Linked DNA regions of Caenorhabditis elegans. The protein of the gene in region 1 interacts with the protein of each later gene in a biochemical or structural test. Each region holds a gene or a part of one and is shown in the gene's direction. Other genes may lie near its edges.

The links.
Region 2: of the proteins of cdc-25.2 (region 1) and lin-23, one has a biochemical effect on the other in vitro, tested with the Caenorhabditis elegans proteins (one study listed by BioGRID).

Annotation. Positions count from the first base shown.
Region 1 is NC_003283.11:1,570,807-1,587,360, forward strand, and holds cdc-25.2 (M-phase inducer phosphatase cdc-25.2), read left to right. Parts: upstream 1-6,884; 5' UTR 6,885-6,931; coding exon 6,932-6,989; intron 6,990-11,964; coding exon 11,965-12,077; intron 12,078-12,167; coding exon 12,168-12,259; intron 12,260-12,531; coding exon 12,532-13,060; intron 13,061-13,114; coding exon 13,115-13,372; intron 13,373-13,735; coding exon 13,736-14,128; 3' UTR 14,129-14,726; downstream 14,727-16,554. Other genes in the region: F16B4.7 (Glycine Rich Secreted Protein), read left to right, coding at 14,916-15,021, 15,071-15,222; F16B4.6 (MT domain-containing protein), read left to right, coding at 16,400-16,544. UniProt on the Caenorhabditis elegans protein: Required for intestinal cell division following the 16E cell stage of embryogenesis. Regulates intestinal cell divisions and binucleations probably by modulating the activity of the cell cycle regulator wee-1.3 and by activating the cdk-1/cyb-1 complex.
Region 2 is NC_003280.10:6,364,766-6,382,110, forward strand, and holds lin-23 (F-box domain-containing protein), read left to right. Parts: upstream 1-6,537; 5' UTR 6,538-6,547; coding exon 6,548-6,673; intron 6,674-6,791; coding exon 6,792-6,930; intron 6,931-6,983; coding exon 6,984-7,158; intron 7,159-7,211; coding exon 7,212-7,506; intron 7,507-7,553; coding exon 7,554-7,922; intron 7,923-8,057; coding exon 8,058-8,498; intron 8,499-8,647; coding exon 8,648-8,998; intron 8,999-9,039; coding exon 9,040-9,147; 3' UTR 9,148-9,785; downstream 9,786-17,345. Other genes in the region: ani-2 (Anillin-like protein 2), read right to left, coding at 1-49, 92-380, 428-514; clec-88 (C-type lectin domain-containing protein), read left to right, coding at 1,012-1,147, 1,217-1,812; Serine carboxypeptidase ctsa-4.1, read left to right, coding at 2,239-2,568, 2,614-2,954, 3,178-3,280, 3,324-3,470, 3,517-3,626, 3,738-3,819, 3,864-3,950, 3,997-4,084 and 1 more. UniProt on the Caenorhabditis elegans protein: Functions cell autonomously to negatively regulate cell cycle progression. Required to restrain cell proliferation in response to developmental cues. Probably recognizes and binds to some proteins and promotes their ubiquitination and degradation.

The DNA of each region.
Region 1 (16,554 bases):
CCTTTCCACTTGTGCGTCTCCTCTGATCCCACACTATTTTCTGATGTTCTCGATAATATGGGTCTAGGACTAGAGAGGGAGGTCATCTTTTTCTGCACAGACAGAGCGCACATTGATGAGCCATCTCCCTCCTCGGATATTTGAATTCTCGACGCAGAACGGGGGAAGAGATGGGACTGGAGATGTCAGAGAAAACAATTAGTAAAGATAGATTAATGTAGAATATGTAGAATTTTCTATTGGCACTTGACTTATTGCTCTAAAACATATAAGTTTTTTGAAAAAAAAAACAAAGTGTTGTATGCATGACGCCTATTTTATGCCTACTTTACCGTTTATAAATGATCACTTGACCCAACAAATACCTGACTTGTAGATCAAAAATGCAGAGCAGTTTTTATGAAATCACGTGGTGTCAGAGTGTGCCATCTCGGTTTGATCTACGTAGATCTACGAGAATGGCGGGAATTTTGACGCAGACTTCTCAACTGATTTTGCATGGTTAAGAACGTGCTAACGTCACATTTGTTGTGTAGAAAATTCCCGCATTTTGTGTAGATCAAACCGTAATCGGACAACCTGACACCACGTGTGAAATGCTCTTAGGCTTTATGAACAATACAAAAAATCTACAGTACCTATAAAACATTAGGCTACTGTAGAACTTGAGTTATTCTCACCCCATTTGCACAGACTCCCTGAAAAGGTATGTATCTTGTAATTGATGGATTAATATTGAACTCCACTAGATTCTTGCTCGTGGGATCCCCTAAATACTTCAAGATATCAATCTGTCCAAATAAGTTGTAATCATGATGTCCTACTAATGTTTACGGTTTCCCAGTCAATTACAATTACAGATTTACAACACTGTGCTGTAAACTTGCTCTAATCTGCATCTCAATCCGAAAACTTTCAAATCCTGGGAACCTGTCACCACCACTATATCCACAAAGACCACCCAGAGAGGGGAAGTGAACTAATCAAAAAGTAATGAACCGCTACTCGATTTGACCCCAATTTCGCGCCACACTGTGCCCTAGACACGAGCGAAAAAAAAAATGAAACAATTGAGGTGTTCGCTTTCGATTCGCCGCCCCTACCTATTTTCACTCATTTCTGTTTTTGTGAAGGACACCCGCCATAGTTGACGACTTGAACGACACCTTTCGCTTTGACTTACATTTGCATTTCATTAGACACCCCCAGACCTTTCACCGGAAACTGGTATTTTTTTGAGGAAAGGTGTTCAAATTGTTTCAGTTTGGTTGTTAACTAGCGGAACCTAGGGATTAAATTAATCTTATTTTTGTTAGGATTTCTTCATTTATGAGCTTCAACATGGGCCTAAACTATATTAAAAGTTTGAACAATACTTAAAATTTATGTCCAGAATTTTCACTTTTAGTTTTTCACAACGCCATATGAATTTAAAAGTTGATAATTTGTATTTATCTAGAATTGTTTAATTTTGAACATGTCTGAAAAAATTAAAGCACTGTTGAAGTTATATATATACAGTCAAAACGAACCTAACCTGTGTGTTTTCCAGCAAACTTTGCCTACTTCACCGGGACCTTACATTCGAGCACTTCTGGGTTTATGTTAGGAAACTGTAGGGGTACTGTAGTTTTGCATAGTATTTTATAAAATCAGTCTAAATTTTTAATGCATTTTTTTACTGCATAGATATAATTGGTATTTAGTTTTTTCAAGTTTACAAGCTTCTTCTAACGTTTAAAATTTTCTAGAAAAATTTTGTACATCTGCTCTTTTTCCATCCTCATCAATTTTCACCTCAACATGCAGCAAGTCTCACAGCATCCTCATCGCTCATACCTCTGCTCCAGCCAGACCCAAATTATCATTTACTCATTATACAATCTTATTCACCGCATAATTAGAGATCGCTAGACTTGTCAGACACCCAGACACATCTGTTCAACCCATATGAGTGCACATGCCTTCAGACATTCTGTTTGATCTGTGTCTAGCGCTCTCTCAAAGATCAACAGTCTCTCCGGCATTGGAAAGCAACAGCTGTATGTGGGATGAATGGCTATTGCGCGCGAAAATAGGTGTTTTTTGGCTTCCTGGGGTTGGATGTGGGTAAGCAAAGACAGATGGATGGGATAAACCAGGGGATCAGTATGAGGGAAGTTTGTTTTAAATTTGGGGTGCTTAATATTTTTAGATGATATTTTTTGTTTCGATGGAAGCAGAAACATTCCTATTCACTTACACATAATTCGAAATTGAGCTTGAACACGTGGCGTCAGGCTGCTCCATCTAAATGTGATCTACAAAAAATGCGGGCATATTTTACCCGGAAAAGTGTGAAGGCAGCGCACTCTTAACCATTTAAAATCAGTTGAAAAATCTGCGTCTAGAAGCGTCTAAATTACCACAATTCTAGTAGATCAAACCGAAATGGGACACTCTGACACCATGTGCTAGAATTGGCTTAAAAAAGTCTGATAGTCTAGGCGTCTGCAAATTTAAGATTCAAGTGCGTAGTTCGGCATTTTGTTTGCAAAAAAAGCTTCTTTTGATCTTTTACCAACAAAAAATGAAGAGTTCTGGAACCAAAACACCATAGTTTCATGCCCACCTCTTCTTCGGACCATTCTACCACACATGCGCGAATCTTTTGTCAATTGCGCAACACCTGTCGCGGATGCCCATGGACCTCCTGTGGGGGCGCCTGTCGGCTCATACGCAAAGAGCTCTGACCATCTCCTTCATCGCGCATTTACGACTGTCGTCGAGATTACAGTCAACTACACGACGGGAGGTGGTGAGAGATCTCATCTGGAATAAGGCGGTGATGGAGGGCGGAGCACACCTGGACGGATGTCCCTGGGGAACATTCTAGCACATGGACCAGTATGCTTGGGTCCCCAAGGTTGCGTAAGGTCGCTCGACATATCGATTTCTTGTTTTATGGTAGGTGTGACTTTTTTTGAGAATATGAGTTAACCATGAATATTTTATTTAAAGAACATAAATGCATTTTGATACTTTAAGTCTAATTTCCCAAAAAGTCTTTTTTTCCCTTTCTTCTCTCAATGCCGGTCTATTTTTTTCCTCTCTTTGTCGGACTCGTGAGGGTCCCGACTTTTTTTCATTGTTTTGATTAACTTTGATTAAACAATAAATTCACTTGTGGATCATCCTCAAGCCAATTTAAAAAAAAAAGTTACTTTTATATAAATAAGGTAGAAACAATAATTAATTTCAATTTGAGCTGCCTAAAAATAGTTTTACTAGACCCTTGTTTTAATTATGTTTTGTAGTGATAATATTTTGAATCTGAATTTTTCTTATTAACTTCAGTTTTGATGTGATGTGATAAGTTAATACCTGCCTGTCTAAACATCAGTCTACATATCTTTCCCGCATTTCTGAAAGAGCTGATGTATTTAAAACATTTTCGATTTTTAGTCATTTCCATAAATAAATGCATTGAAAACATTAAAATAATAAAATTAAATTTCGAATTAAGTTTTCGGTAGATCTAATAGTAAGGAGGAAAAATTATTATGTCCCAATTTAAACCTATTCTGCTCAAATTCTTATTTAATTTTTATTTAACTTTTTTTTCAAAAATTAGACGTTTCTCTTACATCTTCACTGTACCATATCATTTTAATCCGTAACTTTCCTACCTGTCAGTTTTTTTTTTAAATTAGACGGCTTATGACTCAGTTGTTGTTCCGTTTAACACAATAAAATTAACTTGCAATACTTCTTAATAAAGTTACAATGCATAATTGTGAATATCTTCCAGCCCACGTTCACAATGCTCAGTAACGGTTGTTATTATAGTCATTAAGTGTAATTTATGTAATCCTATGGGATTCTAGAACATGGCAGATTTACAGTATAATGTTTATTAACCAAACATGTGTTCAGATACATTACTGACAAGTAGGGATTAGAACTCATACTCATGGATGAAGACATCATAGGTCACTCGATATGCTTTTCCAGTTACGCAAGTCAGTTGCATCAGACACAAACTCACTTGCTAAGAGGTTTATGATCGTTTGCCAGCGCGGTCAAGACTGATGATCCGCTGAGTAGATAGTAATTTATTTGGTTGGTAACGAGAGTTGAGGAAATTTTGAATTTGCAAAGCCACTAACATTAAAACATCTGGTAGGTGTCATTTGGTCCCTTTTCTGCTAGTGTAATAACGTTTACAACTGGCTCTTCATTCACAAGTCGACGACTCCTATTTATCACCTATTCTCACTCCATAGCTTTTGAATAGGTTTCAATATTTGTAACTTTTCATATTTTCCAAAGACAAAAAATGTTTATTTGCCAAAGCCCTTGACTTTTCTCGTCTTGTAATACTTGCCGGTAGCTCCTTTTTATGTACACAGGTACGTCGAAAAAGACCATCCAATTAGGTATTAGATATCCTGCAGCACATACCCGAAAAGGCCTGTGGAACAGTAGGGCAGCAGGAACGGTATTTGAATGCCTTTTTCACGGTATGAATAAGGTGTATAGAAAAGGGGGTGGCTCTAATTATATGCGCGTATTATATTTGAATTCCGTAAGAAGACGAGAGGGTGGCAATAACCTTTTTGACGGGAGAAACAATAGGAGATATTTGAACGGGAGAGGTGGAAGATGCACACGGGTGGAAGCTAGGTGCAATAGTAAAGGGTGCCTTCGAGCCTGCCTACACATGCCTATTTTGTTTTTGGACTAAAAAATTAAATAATTAACTGTGGAAGTAAGTTGGAGTTTTTGAATTTTGTATTTTGTATTTTGTATTTCAAGAACAATGTGTTCTACTACAAAGCCGTATTTCATTCCAGGATTCAAAATGAAAATCCAGCCTAACAGCTTCCTCTACATCCCACCCATAACTCATAAGCACCTGCCACCCGTTGGCCCAAATTCCGGAGCACCCATCATCGCGCACATGTTTTGTAATGCTTGTGGTCCGTCTCTCTCTCTGCTTCCACACGGAATATTCAAATATCCTCCCCCTCCCTAGTCCCAATGGAGCTCCTTTACTGTGCTCCTCACTGCGCGCAGACTGGCTGTCAGCTGTCATCTGATGTCTGCGTCTCGCTGATCCTCACGCTATTTTGAGCTTCTTATGATATATTGCATAACTAAGAACGATGGCGGTAAGGAGACAGGAAATGAGGCATTTTGTATTCTTTTCGAGGAGGCTGGCTCTAATTTGAACATGCACAGACGAACGGAACATGCAGAACTGAACATAAGGAGGGTTGTGATCTTCAGCTAATATGTCTGATTTATGAGCTGACACTTCATTCTAGTTACTGATGAACCCGTAGAGACCCGCAAAAAAGGAAAGCTTATTGATTCAAAATTCAGCTTCCCATAATAAATTCCCATACAGCACGGTTCTTTTCAAAACCAGAACCATCTGCTGGTTTTGAACGGAACCGAAGCTGTCTTGGGCACCGCCAAGCACCCCGTCAGAAATGAGAAATTTCGGCGAGAGATTTGGAGAATTAGATAGGCACACACACTCGGGGAGGGGCGCCCACAGCTTTGACCTAGTGGCATTGAAAAATTGCCAGCGAGGGAAGAATCGGTGGCCGATTCGTCTTCTAGTTAGCCATGCCTTTTACCTACCATTTTATGATTTTATTCTATTCGGAACTTGGGGGCTAGGCACCTAAATCCGTTTGACAAGACAAGGGTCAAGTTTGCCGAACATTTCTCTTAGGGGTCCGCGCAATATTTGTTTGACTATAGGTATGCAAGTTTTTTTTCTGATTGCCCAATGTTTGTACAAGCTTTTTAGATAAAAACTGTCTCACTCCAGTTATATCACAAACTTTATTTTAATTTTCAATCTAACTTTTCAAAGTGACTAGAAAGGTCCTGATCCAGACAAGTGGTCCAGAGGTTTGATTATATTATATAAAACTCGAACCATTCGCATAGAGTGAGGTCAAAAATTGTTGCGCAAAAGTTGCGTCGTTATAAAATTGCGCCATCGCCCTCCAAACAGGCGGTCTTTTGAATATGAAGCTCGTCGAGAAACCCGAGTTGCGCTGGGCTGAATGTGCAGATACGCAACATAATCCTCGTGAGGAATCCAGCCGAGCTTTTGCATCATAAAGGAAAACAGCTGCTTTTGTATTCCATATTTCATGAGGGGGTCTTAGATGTTACGTGGAAGAGGAAGCATCTAATTAAAAAATTGAGTATTGTACATAATTATTTCTGGCACCTAGGCGATTTTGAACAAGTTAGAATTTGAAACTGTGAAAATTGGTGTCAAGTGAATGATAAAAATTTGATTGCAATTAAAAATTTGAAATTAAAAATTGAATTTTGGAGTGGTTTAAAAATTGCAGATTAATGCATTTTAATTATTTTTGATGAAGTTACTTTTGAAATGAAATGAAAGAGAAAATGAAATGAAAAAAAAGCTTTTCGCTTGTCCGCCGCTTTTTGTCAACCCGTACCGATTGTAAATCACTCATCATACAATTCCATCTCCAAAACTTAGTGATCCTTGACAAAACTGGTCCGAGTTCTCTCCTCCACCCTTCCATTTCTCGTTCTTTATTTGAAAACCCCCTCTCTATCTTGCACTCAGGTCCCTCTCAAATCCGCTCTCTTCTCTCTTCAATCTTCATGCTCTTTTTCCCCCGTTCTATAAGGGGTCATGATGGTGCAACCGGGTCGGACCACCTCCATCCGACCTCCCGCCTCCCACCACCCGACTCCCTCAAGCATTATTACCTCATACTCGGGGCGGCACAACCACCTTTTTCCCTGTTTTTTTTTGAAACCTTTTTCTGTGTTTTCAAATATTCTTTGAAATTTATAGATATTTTGATTTTAAAAATTTTTTAAAAATTTAATATTTTCAGAAAACTCCAAACACGTGGGCACAGTCATTTAATCTAGAGTATTTATTATGAATAGGCCTTCACAAATATCACAAGATGTAGCACAACCGCTTTCTAATCAGCATGGTGAGTTGAATTTTTATTTTCAATAAGGTGTATTCATTTTAGAATCGTAAAATTGACAGACTACATCTTGATTTTGTTTTCAATTTTATCTAGAACAAATACCAACTAGTATATATAGTTGTAGTTGAACATCTATTGACTTTTTTTTCAAAAATAGATCCAGTGAAGAGGGTGAACATAGAAACAAAGTCGTTTAGGGACCTATATTATTATTGCCAAAATGTTATAGATGGAGTATGGCCAGTGGGGAAAGTGCTAAAAACTACTACTATGGTGTCAAAATGACCGAATATCAGAATAAAACTTTTCAAAAAACTTTTTGAAATTTTTTATTTATTGTCAAAAATGACAATTACCCAGGTTTTTCCACTTATGAATAATAATGGAAATCGTCCAAAAAAAATTTTTTCCTACATTTTTATACTGTAATTTTGTTTTAATTAATTGTATTAAAACATTGTAGGGACTCATATTTTTCAATTTTTTTGGCATTTTGCCAAAACTTTGATCGTAAATTTCGAAAAATCTAAAAATTTTTAGAGTGTTTAATTATGATATTTGGTTGTTTTGGATCATTATAAGTGTATTTAGACAAAATTCTCACAGGCGCTACTCCACCTTTCATCTAGAAAAAAAAAGTTGATTAGCATAGTTGTAGTTGCAGTTGAACTGTTCTTTATTTATTTTTTTTTTTTTGAAAAATCGAACCTTTGAAATAAAAATCATGTGGGTGCAAATTGGAAAAAAACATAGCAAAAAATGTTATTTCGGGTTCTTTTCTCTCTAAATTTTTATTGCCAAAAAACTAATTCATATTTAAATTCAACGCAATTACAGTTTTTATTTCTGTACTTACTATCTGACACGAAAACTTTTGGAACAAATTATTGTACTCAAACAATATCTAATAACCCTAGACCATGTGTATGTCCTCTCTAGGAATTCAAATCATTATTAGCCTCGGTTCTCCTATGGAGGCTGATTGCGCATATTTCACGCAACATATCATTGCGTAGTGCCTGTGAGGGGGTCCTATTGTATTTCGCTATCTCGAGAGAGTACTCTCGTTTGCCCTCCTTATGCTTGGGCACTACTGAACATTTGGTGCCATAAGGGGTTTACTACTATACATACGGAAAAATTGACAAATTTCCTTTCAATTCAAACGATAGCCTAGCAGCAGCAGCAGCGGCTAGCTGCAAGACTCGGCAAATTTTACTAGTAGTAGTTCACGGCCTTGGATGCGGGTGTCAGATAAGCGGAAGTCGCTCACTCCCCTTTGCTGGTATCATCCATCAGGTAGCAGTATAAAGGAGGCTGTAAAACTAAACCCACCGAAAGAAGGTTTTGACCACTATAAAATAAATTGAGCGGGGTCAGGGTCTCTTAATTATATTTGAAAACGTTCGAATTTGATGAGATCTCATGAGAGGAGAGTTTTATTGAAAACGTTTGAAACAGATAAATGTGCAATGAATTTTTTAGAGTTAATAAAAATAGCTGAATTTGAGAAAAAAAAAATTAAATTTGAACTATTTTGAACAATACAAAAATAGTTGTTATTTATGGAAAAGCGCGCCCACAAAACAGCGGCAAACGCACAGAACTGCTTATTTCAACATTATAGTTCAACTTTTTTCATCCAAACTTGATATAGAAATGTAGAAAAAAAATTGATCTATCTGAAAATATTCCTTATGTCTGTTGAAAAACCTTAAAAATCTTCAAATAGTGCCTAAAAGTTCCTAAAACTTTAAACGGAATTTTTTGGCAAACCGCAACTTTTAGGCACTATTTGAGGCCTTTTTGAAGCTTTTCAACAGAAAAAAAATTATTTTTAAACGGAACAATCCTTCTTCTACATTTCTATATCAATTTTCAATAAAAAAAGTTGGATTATCTAAAAAAAAGTCGCAAAAAAGAGAAATTTGGATTTGAGTCTACTGAAACATTACACGAAAATTTCTAAATATATCGAATTTCAAGTACTCCAACCCAGCCAGCAATAAATTCCCTGAACTCTTTTTTTAATGATTTTCCAAATTCTTATGAGAAACTTACGACTTTATTGCTCGCCTCTTCGCAATTTTACAGTTTACGATTTTTATTCACACCACACCACACAAAACATTTGAAACTAGTACCACACCTCTCCTCCGGCACTAATCAAAATTTCCAATCTGACCTCTTTTTGAAAAGGGAGGCCCAAAGTTTGTTCAAGTAAGGTGAGAAAATGGTAATAGACGGGGGGGGGGCAAGCAGATAAGTATCGTTAGGCCTAAGTTGACAAATTGGCATGTCGAGCAACCTGGTACCAAGGTTTTCGATAGGATCTCCCTTTTCGGTGTTCCCTTTTTTACGAATTTTAGTGCCTTCAAATTTCAAATTTATGTTTTGTTTATTTTGTCCCCCACCTAACTTTGTTGCCCTTGATTCTCAAAGATAGCGGCTTCTGCATAATATAAACATATCTGTTCGATGTCTGACACCACCAATCGTACTTTTAATATAAACATTTTTGAATGTAGGTTAAAGTGATGACTGATCATGGAGGAAGAGAAAATCTTATATTACGCTAGACGGGGTCCGATTTCCTCGGGTCAACTTTCTTCGTTACTTTTTGACATTAGCTACTGTAGAATCTGTAGAGTCACACCTGTCCTCTCCTCTCGAGATTTTTTTTTATTTCAATTTCAATTTACAACAAAAACACAAAAAAGACCTCTAGAAAAAATGGCCTCCACCCGTGGCCAGGTGTCCTTCTCTCGGCCGTTTTTTTCTCGCTTCACCCCCTTATGAATACAAGATTCAAATTCCGTTAGACCCGTCGAGAGGGAGGAAACACACACTAATGTATAGGTATTGATGGTCCGAATTTCCTAGCGAGCCTGCCACCTGGCGCACTCTTTTCATAGTGAACACGACAGCCGGCTCTCGTTATGTCGGGTTACGTTTGAATGGGAACACGCGCATTAGGTACCATATATAGAGGCTTCATTGATTAGATTTGAAAAATACCAAAATTGTTTTTATTTATTTTTGGAACGAAAAAAAAAATAAAATTTTAAAAATGAAATGTTTTTTTCTAAAATTTAGCAAGGCAGATTTTATAATTTAATCCAGATTTTTTTTGATTTTTTTTGAGAAACAATTTTATAAAAACGCTTATGAGTTTTTTATAAATCAGCAAAAACTGAACATTTTTAAGTTTTTGATTTTTAGAAGCATATGGTTATGATAGTTTTTTTTTTAATTTCAGCAGTTTGAACTTATAAAATCAATTGATATAAATATTTCAAAAATTGAAACATTTTAAAAATTTTTAAAAATCGACTTCCAAGATCATGAACAGCAACTCATAAATACTGCCACTTAATAAAAAAAATTCGGTTATTTCAAAAGTTATTATACAATAATTTCAATTCCCCCCAAAAACCCCAAGGTCGAAACTCAATTTCCCACATTGCCCTACAGTAACTTATCGCTATCACATTAAAAATTTGAAAATCATATGGGAATATGGCTTTTTCCTCTAGTTTTACACAAAAAGCATCCGCGGGGTGGGTTACGACCGGACGAGTTACGCAACACTGACCGAGGAGGGTTACAAAAAAGTTTTCTTTATGCCAATCTACATATCTCTAGTTATCTTTTCCAATGTTTCTGTGAGATTGTCCAGTACACAGATTTTTTGATACTCTCATTGCGGTTTTTGGGCAATATTTGCTTTTTCCAGCTGTGTTAGATTCGGTGACAAACAATGGTTTTTGACACTGGGAAACACGGGCTCACACAAATCTGAGTTAGGAAAATGTTCTCATATAATTTCTAAAAATGCACTAGAAATTTTAAATAAAACATCATAAAGCCATTAGAAAGAGCAAGAAAATATTTTGGGATTTTTTTTCAAAATTTAATCATTCAAAACATATTTGAAAGTCTAGACACCGCTCATTTCTTGGTTTCTTTGCTTTTTTCGATTTGGTTTTATTTAATTAACGTAGAATTTTGTGCGTATGTTCTATCACTTCCAACATACTTCTGGGAACGCCTTTTTGAACATACTTTCCGGGAATTCCTTCATTTTTGAAAGATTGAAATCTAGTAATCCTTTGCCAGAACCTGACGTAGCACACTTGGATTTTCGTGCGGCGCTCATCATAAAAATCTTAATCTCTTTTCCCAAGGAGCACGTTTGAGTTCATGAGAGAAGAGCCATAAAATTGCACACAATTACTGCTCTTTTTGGATGAAACTGTAATTGTAGCTATTAGGAATATGTTATAGGATTTTGCAAGAGACATAAGAAGTGTGTGAATCGAAAGTTGTAGAATTATTATTTGCAATTTAATAACTGTTTGTATTTTGTGTTGAATTTACTACTGTAACAGTTCATACATTTTTTGTATTTTGCTTTCTTAAAAAAATGGAAAACTGGTAAAAAATTATTTTCTATACAATGTTTTTCAAAAAAAAAATCGAAAAAAAAACTGTAAAAGTAGAGCAAATAGCTAGCTTTTCCGGCATTATCCCCGAGGAGAAATTGATTTGACAAGAATTTGGACCTGGGAAAATTGATCGTAAATATGGTAAATTGAAAGGTCTTAATCCCTTCTCAAAATCAATTTTTTCAACAGCTATAAATTTTAAAACCAAGTTTAACGAACTGTTTTCACCAAAAATTTTTCCTAGAAGGTGTATTTATCTTTCTAATATCAGTCATTCTGCTATCAAATCACCGAAATTTCTGATTTCTGACATTTTCTGCCATTTCCCGTGTTTCGAGACAAAAAACGACCTGAGTAGACCCAAATCTCACCAAGATAGACGTGTCTATTTCTAAATTTTGACCCTCTCTCCCCAGGTGAAAAGTTTCTTTTGGGATGTATTGGGTGGGACCTGAACCGCCTATTCTCAGACCACCAGGCCATCCGTCGTTGCCATTCGTACTCCTTGTGCATTCCAACATTTGCAGAAACCGCGATGATGTCCTCCGACGAAGATTCCATGTCACGCGACTCGGGGATCTGCGAGTTGATGGACGAGAACACGCCGGTTTGCTTCTCCTCAATGTCTACAGAGTCGACGGTAAGTTTACTAGTATGATTTTAACACTCTCTTTATTTATTAAAAAAATAAATTTCAATGCAAATTTCATCAATAACTTCTAATTTCCAGACCGTCCAAGTCGAAGAGTGCATGGAAATCGATGAGGATGAAAATTTACAGCCAGGACCTGTGTCTCGCCGCCAGAAAAAAGTCACGTTCAGGTGAGAAGAGTGCACGATCAATATTTCGATCGATATTCCATTTATGGGAAGAGGAAAGAAGAAAAGAAGAGAAAAAAGTGTCTCACCCTTCAAACAAAAGTTTTGATCTACCCTCTCTGCCGCTCAAAAGTGAACATTGCATTTCACCGCGGGCAGACTACACTCATTTTTGAATACTTGCGGTGTGTTGGCCCACTCTCTCTTCATTCTTTTTGTCCATTTTCCCATTTTTTCCCCCATTTCGCTCCGTCAAAAAACCACCAAATTTTCAGACGAGAGAAGAGCTCCTGCCAGGTGCGTCTGTTCGACGAGTCGCCCACCTCGCACAAGATGTTCATGCGCCCGCAAGCCCCGCTGTCGGTTCGATCCGAAAACCAACAACTCCTACAGCAGCGGAAACGGAAGTTCGAGAAGAGCGAACAATCGTCAGATCATTTCCATTTAGAGCCGATGAGCGTCGAGGCGATGGACGACGACGAAATCGTGATGATGGACCAGAACACCACCAAGTGGGAGCCAGGCTTTCGAGCGCCGAACCATAAGAAGGGACGTCTCACCCGTTCAGCAACCGCCTTCCCGTCACTAGAGACATTTGAGGAGGAAGAGCACGAAGAGCAACATCATCTGAACGTGAAATACCACCTCAAAACTGTTGCAAAGGAATCCTCGAAAGGCTTCAGAAGAATCACCGCCGAAACATTGAGAGACATCTTTTTCCGACTCTCTGAAAAAGAATTTGATGACAAGTATATTCTCATTGATTGCCGCTACCCATATGAATATAATCGTGGTCACATCAAGGTAATTGAGCAATACATTTATATTTAAATTTTAATTCAAACTGTAAATTTTCAGAACGCCATCAACCACTTCGATCGGGTCACAGTGAGCAAGATCTTCTATGATGAGAATGGCCGAAAGCGGTGCAACAAGATTCCGATCTTCTATTGCGAATTCTCACAGGCTCGTGGTCCAAAAATGGCGTATGCTCTTCGGCAAGTAGATCGAGAGCTTAATGTGAACCACTACCCAAAATGTGATTATGAAGAGATGTATGTGCTCGATCTTGGATATCGAAATTTTTTCTTCGCTGCGAACGAAGCCAATATCACGGTGAGTATACGGCAAACGAACAAATAATTTCTGCAATTTCGGCAATTTTCAAACCTATTTTTGTTTGGAAAATAAAAAAGTTTTGAAAAAAAAAACATAATTTTTCAGTTTAGAATTTTGCTAATTTTTTCTTTATTAGGTTTTAGACATTAAGACTTAGGCCTAAGCTTAGGCTCAAGCTTAGGCTTAGTCTTAGCTTAAAAATTCGCCTAAAAATTCGCTTGAAAATCAGCTGGAAAATTGATCATTTTGCAATAAAAAATCTTTTTAAACTTTAAAACTAAAATAATCGACACAGATGCTTTCTGAAATAAAATGCAAAAAAACCTGAATTAAAGCTGTATTTTACAAGCCTATTTCCAGAATCTCTGCCAACCCCACGCATACTGTGAAATGCACGACAAGGAGCACACGATGGAGCTCAAGAAGTACAACTTCCACAACAAGGGTCAATCGGTACTGCGGACTGTGAGCATGAGCCGCTCCTTCAAGTCCTTGCCGACGGGTTCCGCGTTCAACTTCGTCGCCTCATCTGCTTCGTTCACCTCGGCACCGTCCACGTCGACAGAGAACATTGATACCAACGATGATTGCCAGAAAAGCCGGACGCCTGCCGTTCCGCGGATCGCTTCGAGGCGTAACTTGTTCAGTGATCCTTCACACTCTCCAACGAACTTTGCACAATTTCCTCTGACTTGTTCACGAGAAACGCCCTCTCCCCACAAACATCCCTTGACATGTCCTCGTTTTTCATAAAATTATTCCTCCTTGATTTCTCCAACAGAGTGTTCCATAGTTATGTTGAGCGGTTCTTAGATTCAATTATCGAATCGACATTTTTCTATTTGAACGTGCTCTGTGCTAGACAATGTAACTGGTCAACTTAACAATAGGACGGTCTGTATTTGCCATATTTCCGAACTTTCAAACTTTTATAAGTTGGCAAGTTTCTCTCTCATCACCCGCCAAATCTTTCTTTCGCGCTCTCTCTCTCTTTTCTGTTTCCGAATATTTTCTATGTCTCTCTTTATCAATCTTTGCCACACCAAAAATTGTATTTCTTGAATTATGGGTTCCTTCGGTTTCTCTGCCACTTTGTCCCGTGTGACTTCCCCTCAATGTCCCCTGGGTTTAGGATGGATGGGCTAGATCACACATATATGTATCTATAAGTTTCTAGATGTTGACGTACTTTCCCCCCTCTCTGTATCCAGTGCTCAGATCCTGAAGAACATAGACTGTAAGAAGACTAGATTTATTTTCAACTAATTTTGACTATCGTCCTATTTTTATATGTAACCACACAGTGTTATATAGGGATCATATTCCGACTAAATAAAATTTATTTTACTTTATCATATTTTCATGTTTTTCAATTTTCTGACCAGGTTGTTTTTGTAATGTGATTTGGCGAAAGATGACCGGATGATAAGAAGTGATAAGTTGTGGAATTGTGGGGGAGGAGAAAAAGTTCCAGTTTTTGGTACTAGTATAAATAAAATTGGAAGTATCGGCTGAATTACCAGACATTTCTATTCTGAAAATGAAATTCTACATTCTCCTGGTAGTCCTTGTCGCTTTCGTTGCTGCTAAACCGCATCCGGGGTACGGTAGGCCATCGTATGGCGGAGGTTACGGCGGTGGAGGTGGTAAGTCATAGGACAGTATCAGTTTTTGTAAGTCATGTGTACTTTCTAGGTGATTTCGGTGGAGGTGGCAGTGGTGGTCAATGGGGATCGCAATCATCATCGTTCCAACAGAGTCAAAGCTCGGGAGGATTTCAGAATAACGCTGGAGGTGGATTTGGAGGAGGAATGGGACCAGGAGGTGGAGGATGGGGAAGAAGATAAATTTTGAATTTATGACGTGGAAACTGTGGTTATTGTTCCGAATAAATTTTCCTTATCGAAGTTTTTATAATTTAAGTTAAACTATTAATTTCTAAAATGGCGGGGGGTATAATACACAAGTACCGAAATTTTCACTAACAATCCAAAAAAAAAAATAAATTTTGTCATTTACTAAACAAATTTCACATTGTTTCAAAAAACTTGGTTAGAATTTTCCAGCATGAGATTATCTTTTACAGAAAACCACAAAAATTGATTTTTTTTTTCGAGAGAGAGAGAGAGAGAGTTTTCTCACAAAAACGTCTTTGTTGACGTCATATATACTAATTTCTATATACTAATTTCAGGCTTGTTGCCGTCGGAACTCAAAATATCACAATTTTACTCATTTTCATTACTTTTTAACAAAAATGTTGCATTTTTCTTGTTTATTTCTTCCATTTTCCGGGGGAAAAAACACAAAAAATTAAGAAAATAAATGAAATAATGTTAATAAATAAAAAATAATGCAAGTACGCTCCACCGAGCAAATCCAATTGGCGGAAATTCAAAAATAATTAGGTGAAAACAGTGATTTTTCCAATTTTCAAAAAATCATATAAAGTCTAGAAAATTTTTTAAAATTATTTTATCAAGATATTCGGTTTTACAAATAGACACTTTTTTGGTCTATTCACGAGTGTCACGAAATATCTCCTAGCGACTTCTACCGTATCATTGAATAAAAATAGCAACATCTTGAAATTTAATCTCTGAAGCGTGCGCAAAAATTTATAGGTTTAATTTGCGTGCTGCGTGAAATCGAGATGAAAAAAGGGAAATGTGAAGCTTGGAGTTTCCGTATTTTTACATTTTCACGTCTCCCGTTTATTTCATCTCGGATTCACGCGTCACGCAAATTACACTTATTAATTTGCTGATATTCTGGTCACATTCTAGTACAAAATCAATAATTTTATGCAGAAATTTGCCTTTAAAAATTAAATTTAATATTTGAGGCATATGGATGCAAGAAAATGAGCTTTTTACAGCTCAAAATGAAGATTTCGAGTTTTCCGAAGTCCATTTCGCGTTATTTAATTTTGATTTGTATTTTTCTTTCCAAATGTAAGCTAAATTATAGCTTTTTCCTCAAAAATTAACATTAAAATCAGTTTCTAAAGAATTTCGGTTAGAAATGAGAGACGCAGACACAAAATGCGCCAGCTCCTGGGCGCGTGGGTCTCGCCACGAAAACTTTCTCACCCACTTTTCGCCAATTTTTCATAGTTTTCTATCATTCTGTCTTCTGTTTCGCTCGAAAATGGACGCTGCCAAAAATAGTGAGTTTCA
Region 2 (17,345 bases), on another chromosome or scaffold:
TCGATATCGTGCTCCTCGTATTCTTCGTGATCTTCGATCATTGAATCGTCTGAATTCAATAACTAAGTTAATAATTCAGACAGTATCTCACCTATAAAATTGGTAGTCACAACTTCTTTTTCATTATCCTGCATAGGTTCGCTATTTCTGCGGTACCGGCCCAAATTCGCATATCTTGGAGAATCCAGTTGATCTTGACGAGAACATTGATCGAATGCAGCAACGAGATCCAGAGTTCTCCCACGAGGAGCGTTCAGACGCCAAGTGTCACCGCGTGACGGAGACCACCAGCTCATATCAGGCTTTTGTGGTGTTTCCTTTACGGGAGTGTCCGCGAATTTTGAATTATTAGCTGCAGTTAATGACGTCCAGCGGTAAGACTGAAAATACATCGGATTATTAATACAATTTTTAAAGTTAAAAATACCCTGTTGGAATCCAATGGCGAAGACATAGGAGGCGGCGATTTCAACTGCGGCGGATGCGAAAAATTGATATTTTCTCGTCGATACATTTTTGCGAAATGACAAAATCACTATCGATAAAGAAAAACGACCACACGTCGAAAAATACGACAAAAATGCGTGGAATTGTTTAATTTCCCACAATTGCCGCCATGACCCCGTGAGTTACGGTAATCGTGGTGGGACCCAACACGGATGTAGTTGCACGCTCCTTTAACTACAATTGTTTATTAAACTGGAAATTCAGTTCGTTTTTTGATTTCTCTCTTTTAATTCGTTCTATTCCTGATTGTTTAATGAATATTTAATTTTTATATACTTGCTTTTGAAAATATCGTTAAATTTAACTCAAGTTAAAATAATTTTGATTATTTAACTTTTAATTCCACACTTGTTTCTTTAAAAAATATTCTGGCTGTGCAGTTTGTTTGATCTCCCACTGAGCACAGCGCGAAACGAATATTACAAAAAACTTAATCTTTAAAAATATTTAACAAGAAATATTTTCAGAAAACAGTCGTCTCGGTTTCCGTTCTTACTGATCGCTATGCAGTTTATATTTTTTGGAACCCTATTTTCTGGACTTTTATTGGTATGTGCAGTTACTAACGATATTGAAGACGCTAGTGGAGAGACACCTGGAATTGTTTCTCAAATTACTGAAGAGCAGCCCCATCAGCGACGTGAGTTTATTTGTAAATCATGAATTTAAAATTGATCTTCAACAGTTTAAAGATTAAATGAATTTCCAGAAAAACTCTACAATTGGGACTACAAGGACCTCGGAACAATTGCATTCGAAGACATTCCATTCCCAACTCTTCAGCCGTCACAAACTATTGACCAATCGGAAAATTGCCCGGAAGGTTGGATCCGATATTCCGATTCATGCTACTGGGTGGAAACGGAGCTTCTTGGATTCGCCAAAGCCGAAAGAAAGTGTTCTGAAAAGCAATCGACACTGTTTGTGGCCAATTCTATCGATGAGTGGGAGGCAATTCGTGGTCATTCAAAAGACTCGTTTTCTTCGTGGATCGGTCTTGTTAGATTTTCCCACTACGAGAGATCCGAGCAATTGCCACGTTGGCAGACCGAAGGAGCTGTCAATCCGTCTAAGATGTGTGTTTACTTTGCAAGTGTTCTTTTTCAAAGAAAAAAATTCAGAAACTGGTTGATCAAGCCGTATAGTCCACTCGTCAATGGATGGTCACAACTTGCCAACTGTGCTGCCAGTTATAAGTCCCCAGCCTCTTTGGAAACTGCTTCATACACTTATTTCTACCCATGTACATATTTATTCTATTCGATCTGTGAACGGAACTCGACCATTGCTAATTCATTGCATTAAAAATGTAAATAATCTTACATTACAATTACCATCTTGTCATCAAATCCATCAAAATCTCCTCTTCTCCCATTACCTGTCATCGACTGTACTTATGAATTATGTAATTCTCACTACTCCCTAAAGATTCTCATTTTGTACTTGTCTTAAACCATAAAAACTGAGAATTCCGAAGTAACTTGCAATATTTATTTTTGCTCGCATACCATGTACGAACACCTAAAAGGCGGGCTTCACTTTGGACGAACGAAGTACTTATGATCATTCTGTCTTGGGAACATTGGAGCAATATTTCTAGAGAAGTTACAATTCAAAGTTAAAATCATCAAATCATTTTGTCTCATCTGACGACACTTCAATAATCCTCTTTCTTATTGTCATCTTATAACACTTATCAATTTCCTAGTTTGCTTTCCATTCATTTCAGAAATGAAACTACTTTCTATACTTTTTATTTTTGTATCCTCATATTCCTTCTGTCTAGCTGCTCCAGCTACGGATAAAGTCAATGATTTACCAGGATTGACTTTCACACCAGATTTCTTTCATTATTCTGGATATTTGCGAGCTTGGACAGACAAATATTTGCATTATTGGTTAACCGAATCATCTAGAGCTCCAACTCAGGATCCCCTAGTTCTATGGCTCAATGGAGGACCGGGATGTTCTAGTTTAGATGGGTTAATTGAAGAATTGGGACCATTTCATGTAAAGGATTTTGGAAACTCTATATACTACAACGAGTACGCCTGGAACAAAGTAGAATTCCACTTTTAATATTGTATGAGAAAGTAACAATTTCAGTTTGCAAATGTCTTATTCCTGGAATCTCCAGCAGGCGTTGGATATTCTTATTCAACAAATTTCAATTTGACAGTTTCTGATGATGAAGTATCTCTACATAATTACATGGCTCTTCTTGATTTTCTATCCAAATTCCCAGAATATAAGGGTCGTGATTTCTGGATCACAGGAGAATCGTATGCAGGAGTTTATATTCCAACTCTGGCCGTACGTATTTTGAATGACAAGAAAAACTTCCCAAATTTCAAAGGAGTGGCGATTGGTAATGGAGCCTTGAATTTTCCAAATAACTATAATACTATGGTTCCATTTTACTATTACCATGCTTTAGTTCGTGACGAGTAAGTTGGTTTATAATTAATCTAGATATTGTACGTTGGTTTGCAATAAGTTGAAGCATAGTCCTATAAAAATTGACTTCAACGTTTATTGAATAATCTTCAAAAATTGGCACCGCGAGTGATGAGATCGTGACAAGACCTAACGGAAATTGCCACATTTTGATAACTTTCCTTCTACCTGATTTTTCAAATGATACTTCTTCATAATTGTATATTTTTTCAGTTTATACAATGACATTGCAAGAAATTGTTGCAATAACAACATTGGAACATGTGACATCTACAGCAAATTCTTTGATCCAAATTGTAGAGACAAAGTTATCAATGTAAGTTGGAAACAGTTTCTCTCAAAAATGTTTTAAATTTCAGGCACTAGATGGTACTAATGAGCTTAATATGTACAACTTGTATGATGTTTGTTATTACAATCCAACCACAAATCTCAAAAAAGCTTTTATCGAAAGACAAATGAGAATAGCCGTCGGATTACCAGCAAGAAAACATAATGCAGCTACCGTAATACTAGATTTCAGAAACTACTATAATTTCAAAATACTTTCAGACAGTTCCGCTTTGTGCTCAAACCAATAATACACATGTTTATTTGAATAGAGCGGATGTTCGGAAAAGTTTGCACATTCCAAGTTCTCTTCCAGCATGGGAAGAGTGTAGGTTGGTTTTTGTGGGGTCTATGTCTTCTCGGTATTACCTGGAGGAAAGTTTGCTAGAATATTGCGTAGTGTCATCTTACAATTAATTAATCCTAATTGTTTTCTCTTACAGCGACCAAGTTGGAAAGAATTATGTAGTAACACATTTCAATGTGATTCCCGAATTTCAGACAATGATTGCTGCAGGAATTAAAGTTTGAATATTTCAAATTAATTTCAAGTATTTAGAATTGTTTAGATTCTTGTCTACAATGGAGATGTGGACACTGCTTGTAATTCAATCATGAATCAACAGTTTTTGACATCACTCAACCTGACAGTTCTTGTTAGTTTCTCTTGTCTTTATTTTATATTTAACTTTTATTTTTTAGGGAGAACAGGAGAAAGTGAACGAGGCTTGGCACTACTCCGGCCAGACTGGAACTGCAGTAGCTGGGTTTCAGACCAAGTTCGCCGGAAGTTTGTTGCCTTTAATATCATTTTAAACCTACATAACCATTTACAGATGTTGATTTTTTGACCGTTCGTGGAAGTGGCCACTTTGTGCCTGAAGACAAACCTAAGGAATCGCAGCAAATGATTTTTAATTTTATCAATAATAAGGACTATTCTACTCCTATTCAACTTTGATCATTGACTGTGATTTATTAATTTTTGGAGAAGTTTCTATTTAAGGCAATAAAAAGAAAATTGAGTTACTTAAAAGTAGCGAAAATCTGGGAAATATTTTTAAATGAATCCAAATTTGCCTCTGATTCCGAATATATATGTGAAAAAATTCAAAAAATCTTCATTGATTTCACTACTCCATCTTTAAACTACAAAACTTAATAAATTCTAATTTTTGGTAATTTGGCAGTTTACCAAAAAGTTTGGCTGAATTTTTTTTGAGTGTTTTGTTATGGTACAGAAATACGTTTCATGTTTTTTTTTCAAAATGATTTACAAAAAAACTTCAAATTTCTAATTGTTCCTTGCCAATTGTACTAATGTTGACCTTTAGTATGCACCAATGATAACTGGATATTCTGTTTTTGGCAGATAGATATATTTGAATTTCAGATGAGTCTAATGAATAATAAATACCACGAACCTAGCCATCATTCGTGTTTTTATTTAACCAATAGAAGCACCCATCGAAGAAATAAAGGGTATAATGATTTTTCAATGAACCTGTTCAACATCCTAATGTCTTTTGTCTTGCAACAGAAGTTGACAGAAATTATGTGGTATTACGTTTAAGTGTAATTCTCAAATTTCAATGTATGGTATCAGCTAATTTAAAAGTTTGGATATTTCAAATTTAGTACAAAACTTAGAAAGTTTCAGATTCTATACTAAAAACAATTTTTTCAGAATTGTGAATTCCTTGAAAGTGTAATATACATGTAATAGAATAAATTATGTTTATGGGATACGTTTTGCAAATTTTTATTATAAGTGGTTTCGAATTTATCCGATTTCTGAAGCACAATAGGTCTTGCCACGAACAAAAAACTTTGAAGCAGATGTTGCACAAAAAGGTGTGCGCCTTTAAAGTTTACAGTACTCTCACTGTCCTCTTTCTGATGTATTTACTTGCGTCTGAAATCCTGAAATAAAAACCGCTAGACCAACGAAAACAAGATTTTTCAAACGAACACAAAACAGACGGAAAAGAAGGTAGGTTGAAAAAGAACGAGAGATATGTCAATCTAAATGTGTAATAATATCTCGAATTTCGGGTCTGAAAATCAAAAGTCGAGCTGAAAATGTGATCAGCAGACAGAGGGAGGTAGTATTAGAGTGCACGGGGTGCAGAAAAAGTACGAGAAATACCCTTTCCCACACTGTTTTCTCTTGCTTTCTCCGCTTTTCGCTAGTTTTAAAGGTGAACAGAATCCAGTTGGATTGGGCTAGACATCACATAAAATGCGGAGATTTAGAGAAGGCAAGCGCGCCCTAAAGCAAAGAGGGCGTGCACGAGACGGCGGGTCGATTCAAGCTCTAACTGTCTGCGTCTCCACTATTGAAAGGTGCTTCACCGCTGTCTCTAATCCGATTTTCTTTCTCTTTTCTACCTTCTTTTCTGTCTTTTCTTTTTTGTTTCCTTCTCGTAACACTCAAATCTTCCTTTCGTATAGTCGTTCGTTTTCATCGTTTTCCGTTAGTTGTGTATTTTCAGGAAAACCTGAGATATTTTCAATTTCCGAACGTTTGTTCTCGTTTAATGCCCAACCGCATCATAAAAACGTTAAATATGTTTCTCCCAAATGGAGAAAAGAGCAAATTTATGATTGAAAAACTAAAAAAAAGTCATGACTAAATAGTTATTATGCTCATCGAAAAATTTGCCAGTTTAAATGCTATTTTATCGATTTTCTGAAATGCCCTGAAATCTTTGATTAAAATCACTATTTTGATTCTCTATCGAGACATATAAAAGATTCTTGATTTATTTTTTAAAATAAGTTGAAATTATAAACACAAATTTGACGATAAACACCAAAATGTGCGTTACCTTTTCATTTGCAATACATATTATTTAATAAGTTTTTTAAATGTCAATCTTCAAATATTGTGTTGTTAAATTCAAACTCCCAGATGTTTTATTTGCTATTTTCAGCTGAAATTCAGATATTCCTATAACAATTTATTTTTCTATTTGGATTAACCAGTTCACTGATTCTGTAAAAGATTACGAAATCAAGAGAATTCTCGAAACAAAAAATTCATTGCAACGTTGATACAATTTCATCTTCGGAACATTTTCCCTTTAATTTCCTTTAAATTTCGATGATACTGATTAACTCACCTGATTATATGAGATCTTTCCGACTTTAAATTGATTTTTACACAAAAACATTGTTCTCTAAATATCGACATATTTTTATCTTCTAATCAATCAACACTCAATAATATCCATTTAATTCAGGACATTAAATGTCTTCACCGCACCGAGCTTCAACAACTCAGCAGCTGGCGGACTTATCGTTGACGGAAGGTGAACACGATGAGGGCAAACCGCTTTCTATTGACTACCTTCAAGGGCACGAAGGCCTGATCGAGGTAAGGAAAACGAGATTTCCCGTCATTCTAGCGCCATCATAATGTCGTTTTGATTTTTTTTTTTTTTTTTTTTTTGATTTTTCCCAAATCTTTCTTCAACTATCATCACCTTTTTCAGGAAGTATTAAAATGGAGTGAACACGAACAGCTCGATTTTATGGACAAAATTGTTCATCGATTATCACATTATCAGTTGGGAAAAGTCGACAACTTTATCAGGCCCATGCTCCAGAGAGATTTCATTAGTAATTTACCAGGTAAAATTTTTGTCTGTTCAGTATTAAACTAATCTAATTCTATTTTATTTCAGCACATCTTGTCGAATTAATTCTGTTTAATGTAAACTCGGATTCATTAAAATCTTGCGAAGAAGTGAGCACAAGCTGGCGATGTGCACTCGCCCGTGGTCAACATTGGAAGAAATTGATTGAAAAGAATGTTCGAAGTGATTCCCTGTGGTGGGGACTTTCTGAAAAAAGACAATGGTTAGTTGATGATTTAGTTTATCAGAAAATAGGAATAAAATACTTGATTTCAGGGACAAATTCCTGAATATCAGTCGAGACATGTCAGTGCGACGAATCTGTGAAAAATTCAACTACGATGTGAATATTAAACGGGATAAGCTTGATCAGCTCATTTTAATGCATGTCTTCTACAGTAAATTATATCCAAAAATCATTCGAGATATTCATAACATTGACAACAACTGGAAACGTGGAAACTACAAAATGACTCGAATAAATTGTCAATCAGAAAATAGCAAAGGAGTATATTGCCTTCAATATGACGATGACAAAATTGTATCTGGTTTGAGGGACAACACTATTAAAGTCAGAATGATATTATTTTGATTTCAAAATAACTCTGATATTTTTAGATTTGGGATAGAAAAGACTACAGCTGCAGTCGAATTCTTTCTGGACATACTGGTTCCGTTTTATGCCTTCAATATGACAATCGTGTAATAATTTCTGGATCTTCTGATGCCACAGTACGTGTCTGGGATGTCGAAACTGGAGAGTGCATTAAAACGTTAATTCATCATTGTGAAGCTGTTCTTCATCTTCGATTTGCTAATGGAATAATGGTAACATGCTCAAAAGATAGATCGATTGCTGTCTGGGATATGGTTTCGCCACGCGATATCACAATTCGAAGAGTTCTTGTTGGTCATAGAGCAGCTGTAAATGTCGTTGATTTTGATGATAGATATATAGTCAGTGCAAGTGGAGACCGAACTATTAAGGTGAGAATTTGAAATTAAAAAACTGCTTTTCCAGTTATTAAGAAGCTTTTTTTTTAATTTAAAGGTGTACTTATCGTTTGAGTCTCGTTTACTATTCTTGCGGTTCTGAAAATATTAATTTTTTTCAATATTCAGGTCTGGTCAATGGATACACTCGAGTTTGTTCGAACATTGGCTGGCCATCGACGAGGAATTGCATGTCTTCAATATCGTGGACGGCTCGTTGTTTCTGGATCCAGTGATAACACGATTCGACTATGGGATATTCATTCTGGTGTATGCCTACGTGTTCTTGAAGGCCATGAAGAGCTCGTGCGATGCATTCGATTTGACGAAAAACGAATTGTCTCCGGAGCATACGACGGAAAGATTAAAGTATGGGATCTTCAAGCTGCTCTAGATCCTCGTGCATTATCTTCGGAAATATGCCTCTGCTCATTAGTTCAACATACTGGCAGAGTGTTCCGCCTGCAGTTTGATGATTTCCAAATTGTTTCCTCTTCACATGATGACACTATTCTCATTTGGGACTTTTTGGACGCTCCACCCAGTGGGCTTCCGTCTTCAACAAACAGAGTAAGTACAACATCTGGATCAAATCTGTTAATTGAGAAATGGCAGTACATTTGATAGTCTTCAAAATTCGCAAATACACTTTGAAGAAAAAAAAGTGCTTGCAAATTTGTAGTCAGTTTCTTTTCCGTGATTCATATTTATTTTTCTAGGCCACCCTCCCAGAACTTCCAAACCAAGCTGCTGTCGCTCGAGCTCAAATGCTTTTTGAAATGGCTGCTCGACGAGAAATTGAGCGACGAGATAGAGAAGTTGTGGAAGAACCTGCACTGAGGCCACGTGCCAATGCTGCTCGTCGACACAATGCCGATATTGCAGCAGCTGCAGCAGCGGCGGAAGCTGCTAGAGGTGCCGGGGACAATGATGAATCGTCATCAGAGGAAGATCTGGACAGAGTTGATCAGGTTAATAATCCGAACGTGGCTGGACCAGCGCCACCGCAACCACACAATCAGAATCATAGAAGGAGGCAACCAAGACCAGAATTGCCTGTCAGACTTATGGTAAAATTGAAAATTGAATGATGAGACTAAAGATTGACAAGTTTCAGCAAGAAATGGCTGCTTTTGACAATATGCGCCGACAACAAAATAATATGGATCACCTGGGCGGAGGCGACGTAGACGAAGAGATGCCAGATGGTGGCCCATAAAATCTACACTCCTTCCCATTTTTTTTTGAATTTTTACTGATCTTCAACCGGTGCAGAAATCAACCAAACCCTCTGTAATCTTCCTTGTCATTTTCCAAAAAAGAAAGTTGAAATTCCTTTGTACAGTATCCTTTTGCATCCCCTTCCCAACTTTTCCTCTCACTATTAACTGATCTGATTTCATGTGATAATAGTGTGTGTGTGTGTCTCTGCATTCTATTCATCTTTTCTCAATCGACATATTGGAATATCGCACGCACAACCCCTTTCTTTCTTGTTTTTGTAACCGCATTCGAGTCCTGGTTTTTCTGAAACTATTTTTTTAATACTTCAATTTTCAAAGTCGCATGCTTTGCGGGTGCCCATTCATCCACTCTCACCATTTTATTTTGTTTTTCATCCCTCTTCCCATTTCTCAACGGTTTTTCTTCTACGGCGACGATTCTAAATGCTTCTATCCCCCGCTTTCCTCACCCGCACATTTTCAATCGCTTCACACAAATCTGTTTCAAATAATCGTTTTCGTTCCTAATTTTTCTCCCCTTCCATTGCCTCCAATTCCAAATTTCTTTTATTCGCTCGGAAAATTGTGTTCTGTATAGTTCGAAATGATATAAACAAATTTGGGTTTTGCTACTCCACAATCTGCCATTCCATCTTTTTTTCTAAATTAGAGTTTCTCATTATCATTCTTCTGTCACTTCCTGTCTTTCCTACGTCATTGTCACTGACAACTTTGCAGAACCGATTTGAGCATTTCTGCAACTTTCTTCTATTACATCTCTACGTCCCCATTCTTATCACACTATTTATTTAGTCATGTGACAAGAGTGATAATGAGAAAATAATTAACCTTCCACTGAATCCCAGTTTTGTAGTAGAAAAAAGTCAAAAGTTATAATCGATAAGCATGCAAAATCAAGTCATGCGACAGTTAAATGACAACATATCGATTAGATATTTCACAAGAAAGTTTACGGAATTTTCCATATTTCAATTGCAATTCGATCAAAAATGTGACAGCTCAAGTGTTTGGCAGATCAAGTGTTTGGCAGATGGGTGGTGTCACATTTTAATGCCAAAACTAATATTTCTCCTCTGCAAAAGCAAAAAAGCGGTAAGTTTGAACCCGAAGTGTGGCAAAAAAAGTTCAATTTGGCACACACCTTTGAGTTCTTATCAATTTCCGGAGAGGTTAGAATGGGATTATTGTAAAGTTCACGAATTGTCGGAGATTGGAATGTTTCACAACTATTTTCATAGTGGACACACTATGTAGGATGACTATAGATTTTTGATTTAATACGAATTCGCGAAGCAATCAAAAAACGAGTACAACACATTGAAACCTAGACGATGACAAGTTACAGTACCCTTTTCAATTGGTTTAGGAAGCGATTCAGCAGTAAATGTGATTTTTTTCTGTTTCAAATGAATACCTGGTTTTCGTGGATAGTATAAATATTTGTATTGTTATTCGAGACAGTTTATATAGTTGTTCACCCAATCATCGTTTGCATTAAGTTGTCAATACTCTAGAATTAACTATGATGAGCCAAATAACGATGCTCACTATTTTTTGCCTTCTGAATAAAAATAAATCATGTTGAGTGTAATTGAAAGTTCGAAACGTTCTACTACTGTAATTCAATTGAAATGTAAAATTAAAGATGACCTGATTTCATTTTGAATACCACACAAAACTCTACTTTTTAAGCGCAAATAAAAGTTTTTATACACATTTTTGAAGGATATAAAATTTTTTTTTTCGGTAAATATCAATTTTATTTCATAGTGTATTTCATTCTAAAACTAAAACAATGTAATTTTGTACTTTTTCGTGTAGACAGGAACTTTCTTGTGATTGTAGCTATGATCGTAGTTTTGTGTCAGAAACCACAAACCCCCCAGAATGTAGGCTATTTTATTAGGTGCAACTTTTTGAAGTAATCAAACATCTAATAAACATCAAATCCACCCTCACTCAAATGCCAGTTTCTTTCTGATCTCTAGAATTTTCAGTTGAATTTTGAATTAGTTTCAATGAGTTATTTAATGTTTTTTTTTTGGAAAACAACCAGTCAAGTTCCTTTTCGACAATATTTGGATGCAGAATTTCTGATGAGGAATCGAGTCTGATGAATTTTAAATTGAAGTTGATAAGCTGAAAGTTAATAATCAATGAACTGAAATAGGTTACCGAAATAGAAATATTCGAAATCTTATTTACTTGGAAGACATGAAAATTTCAACTCACGAATCATTTTCGAACTGAATATTTAAATATGTGAATCTCAATTCAAAATGACTTGTTTTCAAAAACATTAAGCTTATTTTCAGAGATTTCTCGATGGCTTCATTAAGCATTGTCTGATTATTCATGTCCTTTTAACGCGTTATTTGTTGAATAAACAGCTGACTATTTTTTTCATACAACAATGTTTCCTGTTAACTGCAAATGATGAATGAGAGGACGTCACAACAAGAAGCATGAAAGTGATAATCGGAAAAAGCAATGATTAATGCGCCAGGTGGCAGAAAGGGTAAAGATTGGAAATGAGAACGAGAGTTGGAAAATCAAAAGATAAATCAGGAACGACGATGATTTTAAAACGTGTTGCAATTTCCTTTACCTGTAATCAAAATATGGGAGGTCAAATAGAAATGATTGATCTTTTTATGATATGAGAAGATAAAATATTGCAAGACGACTTGGCAAGATTGAGATGTTCTGCCTTGAACTTGTGTTCTGTTATATTGCAAAGGTTATACGTGAAACGACCTAGTCGTAGGAAACATTTCAGGTAGCACTCTCAGAAATATTCCAGTTAAAAATTTTTTGGCAACAGTGATCTAAATCATTATCCTAATTGCCGAGATCTAATCATTATCCTAATTGCCAATACTTATGTTAAGTTGAATTTAATCCAGCTGGAAATCAGTTGAAGCTAGACTTAATCAGAATATGGTATAGTTGCAGGTTCATAACTGGTTGTAGGCTTATCCAGCTTACCTCTTAAAATTAAGTTCCAGTAAAGAAAACGTGAAGAAAACACATTTTAGGGCAGGGACTACAGTAGTTAATCTACGAATCTAGGTTATAACTATAGTACGACTTCTGCCCATTGTTACAATTTTATATGAAAATTGTGGATCAATTGAACTTTTTGAAAATTCATTTCTTCTTTGTTAAAAATATTCGATTAGAGGCCAAAACTTCGAGTTTTCATAATTTCCCATCAACTCGTACTTTTTAAACAACTTAAAAAATTCCAAAATGCGATTCATGCTTGTGACAATGTTTGGATAAGACGAATTTTCAGTGCAGATAATATGTGACTAAATACAAGTCTGCAGGTACTTGACTCTTCAAAAATATTAGTGCTGTATTGTACTTCATATATTAACACTTCACTTACAAACACATTTCCAGCACATTGCAATGAAACTGAAAATTTCGTAAGAAATTGATTTTCCATATCTTATGACATTTTTTCCCGCAGTGCTCATGACATTTGTTTACCGAAACAACAACTTCCTTTTATTCTTTGTACCAGCCCTCCCAGTTTAGCGTATTAGTTTCTCTAATTATCATTTACTATTGTATTTTAATGCTCTTCTTTTTCTTTTTCTTTCCTCACACTCCCATCATCCAATCATCTGACTCTCGTCCTTCTCAGCTGCTTTTTTCTGCCAATAAGATAAGTAGAGAGAGGGAGACAACACAGTTCATAATTTCACAGAAGTTGAAGAAAATGAGATGGCAACGGTAAAAAGTTGTGTATTTGTTTCCGAATAAAATGCTGAAAAATAGATAAATGAATGTGATGAATGATGCAGACTCCGCATGAGGTTACTGATAACATAAAAATGAAAGTGAATGAAGGAGCTGTTAAAAATGAGAGTGATGATGGATGATCAGCGGGAAAACGAAACGAACGTAACTGGCACCTAGTGACACGAAACGTATTTTATCAAAAAAGGTTTCAATTGAACGAATGTTCAAATGAACTCTTGATTAGTTTATTTTTTCCGATGGTACAATGTGTTTAGTGATTAACAATCAAAAAGGCCGATGAGTTGGCAGTAAGCTACTAGAATGCGGAACGCCCTACTGACACTTAACAACCATAATATCTATACGCAAAAAGTACGGTAGCTCCGAACTCAAAATTTATTGAACCTTTTTTAAACTGAAAATTTTTGAGGGCATTAAATTCGATATTTCTGATCTTACAAAAAATTTTCCTATTTGCTATTTAGAATTGTATGAATGTTTTCGCAGTTTTTGGCATAATCCATTTTAAAATTTAATTGCAAAAAAATCTGTGTCTCGTAAGCACATTAAGACTTTAATTATTTCATTGCCACTTAAGCTTCCAATTTTCAAAATCATGTTCAATTTAAATTAATTTGAAATTAAATCAAATTAAGAAGCGTTACAAAATATATAGTTTCTCTAAAGGACTAAAACAATCAAATATCATAAAAAGACCTTTCAAAAAATTTAATGAAAATTTTTTATGGCAGTTTGAAATTTTTTAGAAAGAAGGGAAAAATTACGGAATAAAGTTTCCAGATACACCGTTACTATTGTTTTAATAAACATGCCAAGCTTTTTTGTTATTAACTTTTCCAAATCGCTATAGTGATTTATAAGTAAAATGTGATTTTTCTTGACATCTTGAAGATTCAGTTTTTAATTTAAAAAAATTCCCAGGAGTCTTCAAAATTTTAAATCTAACATTTAGAATTTGAAATGCGAAAAATGTCGTGAGAACTCCTGCAACCTGATTACAACGTTTTTTCGTGATATTTGGATACAGAGCACTTTAAAGGTCACCAACTTCATCGTTGCAAATCTAAAACATTCTCATGAATGATTCAGAAAAACGAATCTTTGACTGGAAGACCTCTGGTAGATTCCGACCTTTTGCTATAATCTTATGATCGAATTACATCGACCTTTCACTTGCAAATGTTTGAGCCAGAAGGGTGCACGTAGATGTGTCATAGAGTGAATATCCGGTTGTAATACAAGATTAATTCATTTCTGAATAATATCTAATTTGATACCACTCTAAAACTTTGACCAACAAATTAAGATAATTTTATAACAAGATATTTTATTCGAGTTTATTTCGATCACAGATTATCAATCCAAACGAAATGTCACGAAGTCACACCATTTTTCTTGAGGATTAAGCATCGAATGAGCGTGAGATCTGTAATGTTTATAACACAAAAATGAAATAGTGTAGCATTTCAAGAGAATCATGCCAGTTATCAATCAATGATAGTATGCACTTTTTCGCGACTGTCATGTGTGAGATTGAAGAGAATGTCAAAAAACGGAAACTCGACAATATCTTCATATATCTTGAAGTTCGTGAAATAAAACAGCGATTTTTGATTAGTTTCATCTTGCCCATATTAAATCATCATTTTTGGACAAAAAGAAGATATGATTGATAACAGGAAAAAAGAAAATAAAGAAAAAAATAGAAAAGGTAGATTTGGGTTGGTATGAGGATTGGACGGCATGAACTATTGTTTTTGGATTTGACAACGTGACCGATCAGAAGGAAGTTAAATAAATGGACTTTGATCTAGATCAGTCAGAAAATGGAACGCCTTATCTTTTAATTAACAGAAAAATCAAACACGTGGACCCTCTTCCAGTTACGGTTATTGTTGATACGGATGAGCGAATTCTGATTGAGGGATCTTCACTCTGATTATAAATATAACATCCACGAAAACTTCCTTCGTCAGCCTTGTTGCTGCCCCCGGAGCGCTGGAACTTTTTGCTTACATTTTCAAAATTACCATGCCCGTAAAAAAATCAGCAAGAAATATGATAGTTTGACATTCTGAAGATTATTCACTGTATAGTGACTGTCTGAGTAGGTAAACCTATCTTCGACACCTTTAAGCCTTTCTACCTACCTGACTACCTAGAACTCCGATGCTTGATGTTCGCACACTGGAAATAAATAAATAAAGATTGAAGTTTACTTTGACATCAGGTACGTGCTTTCTAATTTCATATTAAGATCATACAAAATGCAAGAAAGTTTTCAAAATCGAAGCAAAATCGTATCACAAGGGTTAAGCTGATTGTGAGTCGCTACTGTGAGTCGCTGTCGCTAATTACCACAACTGTCATAACGCTGTTAGATTTATGAATAAAATCAGCCTAAAAGGAAAATCAGTTTAGATTTTAAAGATAAATTTTCAAAAAAGTTTTGAAGAATTGTGGTGGGATACGGTGGCTGAGTAGCGACTCGACCTTTTCAGATCGGAATATTTCAGAAATTAGATTAGTTTTAACAAATTTGGATAAAGATGATTACCCAAATTAAATTCTGTAGACTGCAAAATTTTCAAAATCAAAATCATAGCAAAATTGGCAAAACTCCCTATCACTGTTTGAATTAAGAGAGTCGCTACTCAGCCAATTACCAAACCTGTCATAACATTGTTCAGAAAAGGGATAGAAAGTTGGCTCAAAAAGCAAATATGGTACGTTTTTGGAGAAAAATATTTTAAAAGAAGTTTCCAACAAATTTGGTGTGCCAAGAAAAGTTTTGGTCAAACTTAGGATAAATTGTCCAGCTCTTCCCAGCTAGCTTTTAAGTCAAGTTATTTTTTTCGGGTTGAACATAGCCAAGAACTTTTATGTTTAAAACTTAGTTTTCTACACAATGCTATTTTTGATAATTTCAGTATTGCAAGTCGTGGAACGATTTCGAGGTTGTTCTGGAGTTACAGTTCAGTTGGAAAATGTCGATTTTAGCTCATACCTTTCTACCTACCGTAACCTTGATTAACTTCACAATTATTTGTGTTGTTGTGTTGTCGTTTTTCATTTCTTGTTTTGTCCCTTGAAACCTGCATTCTTTTTTCTTACACATTCTTTCTCTCCATTTATTTATATTCTTTATCTGCCACAGTGTTTCTCTCTGATTCATAAATTCATTCATTTTCTTTCTGTGTGGTTTAAACTTCAGGTTTCTCGATTTCTCTATCATCTCAAAATTATGCATAAACCCATTTTTCCATTTTCTCTTCGTCTCCATTCCTTACCTCTTGCAAACTGATAGGGGCGTGACCTTGTTCCGAAAAGAGGCGGAGTGTCGGAACGAAAAGTCAACGACATGTCCTCTCCGGTCAGTCAGCCACCGACTTCTTGGTGCTCTTCTCTCTGAAATTTCATTCGTCTGAAAGTGACCTACTTTTTAAACTCAACAATGATTCATCATCCAGTATATTTTTATGGAGAAGCAACATCAATGGATCTTCATAAACATTCAACATTATTCTCTGTGCAAAGAATGCAAAGACTTCAACTCATCAAAATATCAACACCGGAACACAATCGGTATGGTCAATTCAAGAAAAGGATCACTAAATGATATCCACTTATCATTAGTCACGTGTCTACATGACTACATGGCTACAACATCATAAGATATATTTTCCTTGTACATTCTTAGGAAAGTGTAAATATAATATTTTGGAAATTTTCGAAAGGTATAGCTCCAATTCTAGAGTTCATTATTTATTTATTTGTTTTTTTATAAGCACGTTATATTTCCTTGTCCCTTACAAAAGGAATTGTATATATATATTTGTCTGTACATTTTTTGATATTTTTCTCATTCCGCTGGTTGGTCATCTATTTCAATTGTTTCGCGATGATTTGCAATATTTTAATGGGATCTCATTTATTTTGTTTCATGTTCAATTGTACATTTATTTTGATTTTTGTGATAATTTTGAATCTCGAGTGAATTTATTTTTAATATGTTTTAAGTTTGTATACAATATACAAGAATTGAGTTATTAAAATACAATAATTACAAAACTAACCATGATATGGCTAAAAGAAATCAGCTGGGACAAGCTTGATTCACAGAAATTTGTAGGCTTTTTACAGTTAGAAAACTCAAAACTTCCGGCAGATCCTGAAATAAAATACAACTCTTGAGTTTACTGAAAACGTAACATTTACAGTTACAGTACCACAGAAAGGCTGATAATTTTTCACCCTAATCAGCAATTTAGGTGAAATTTATTACAAGTGGAATGCTTACAATAGTATTGAGAAAATTTTTTACCTACCTAAAGGTTGCGTCTCTCTCTCCGAAACTTGTAGAAGAATGGCTGCTCACTCCAAACCGGAATTATCTGTT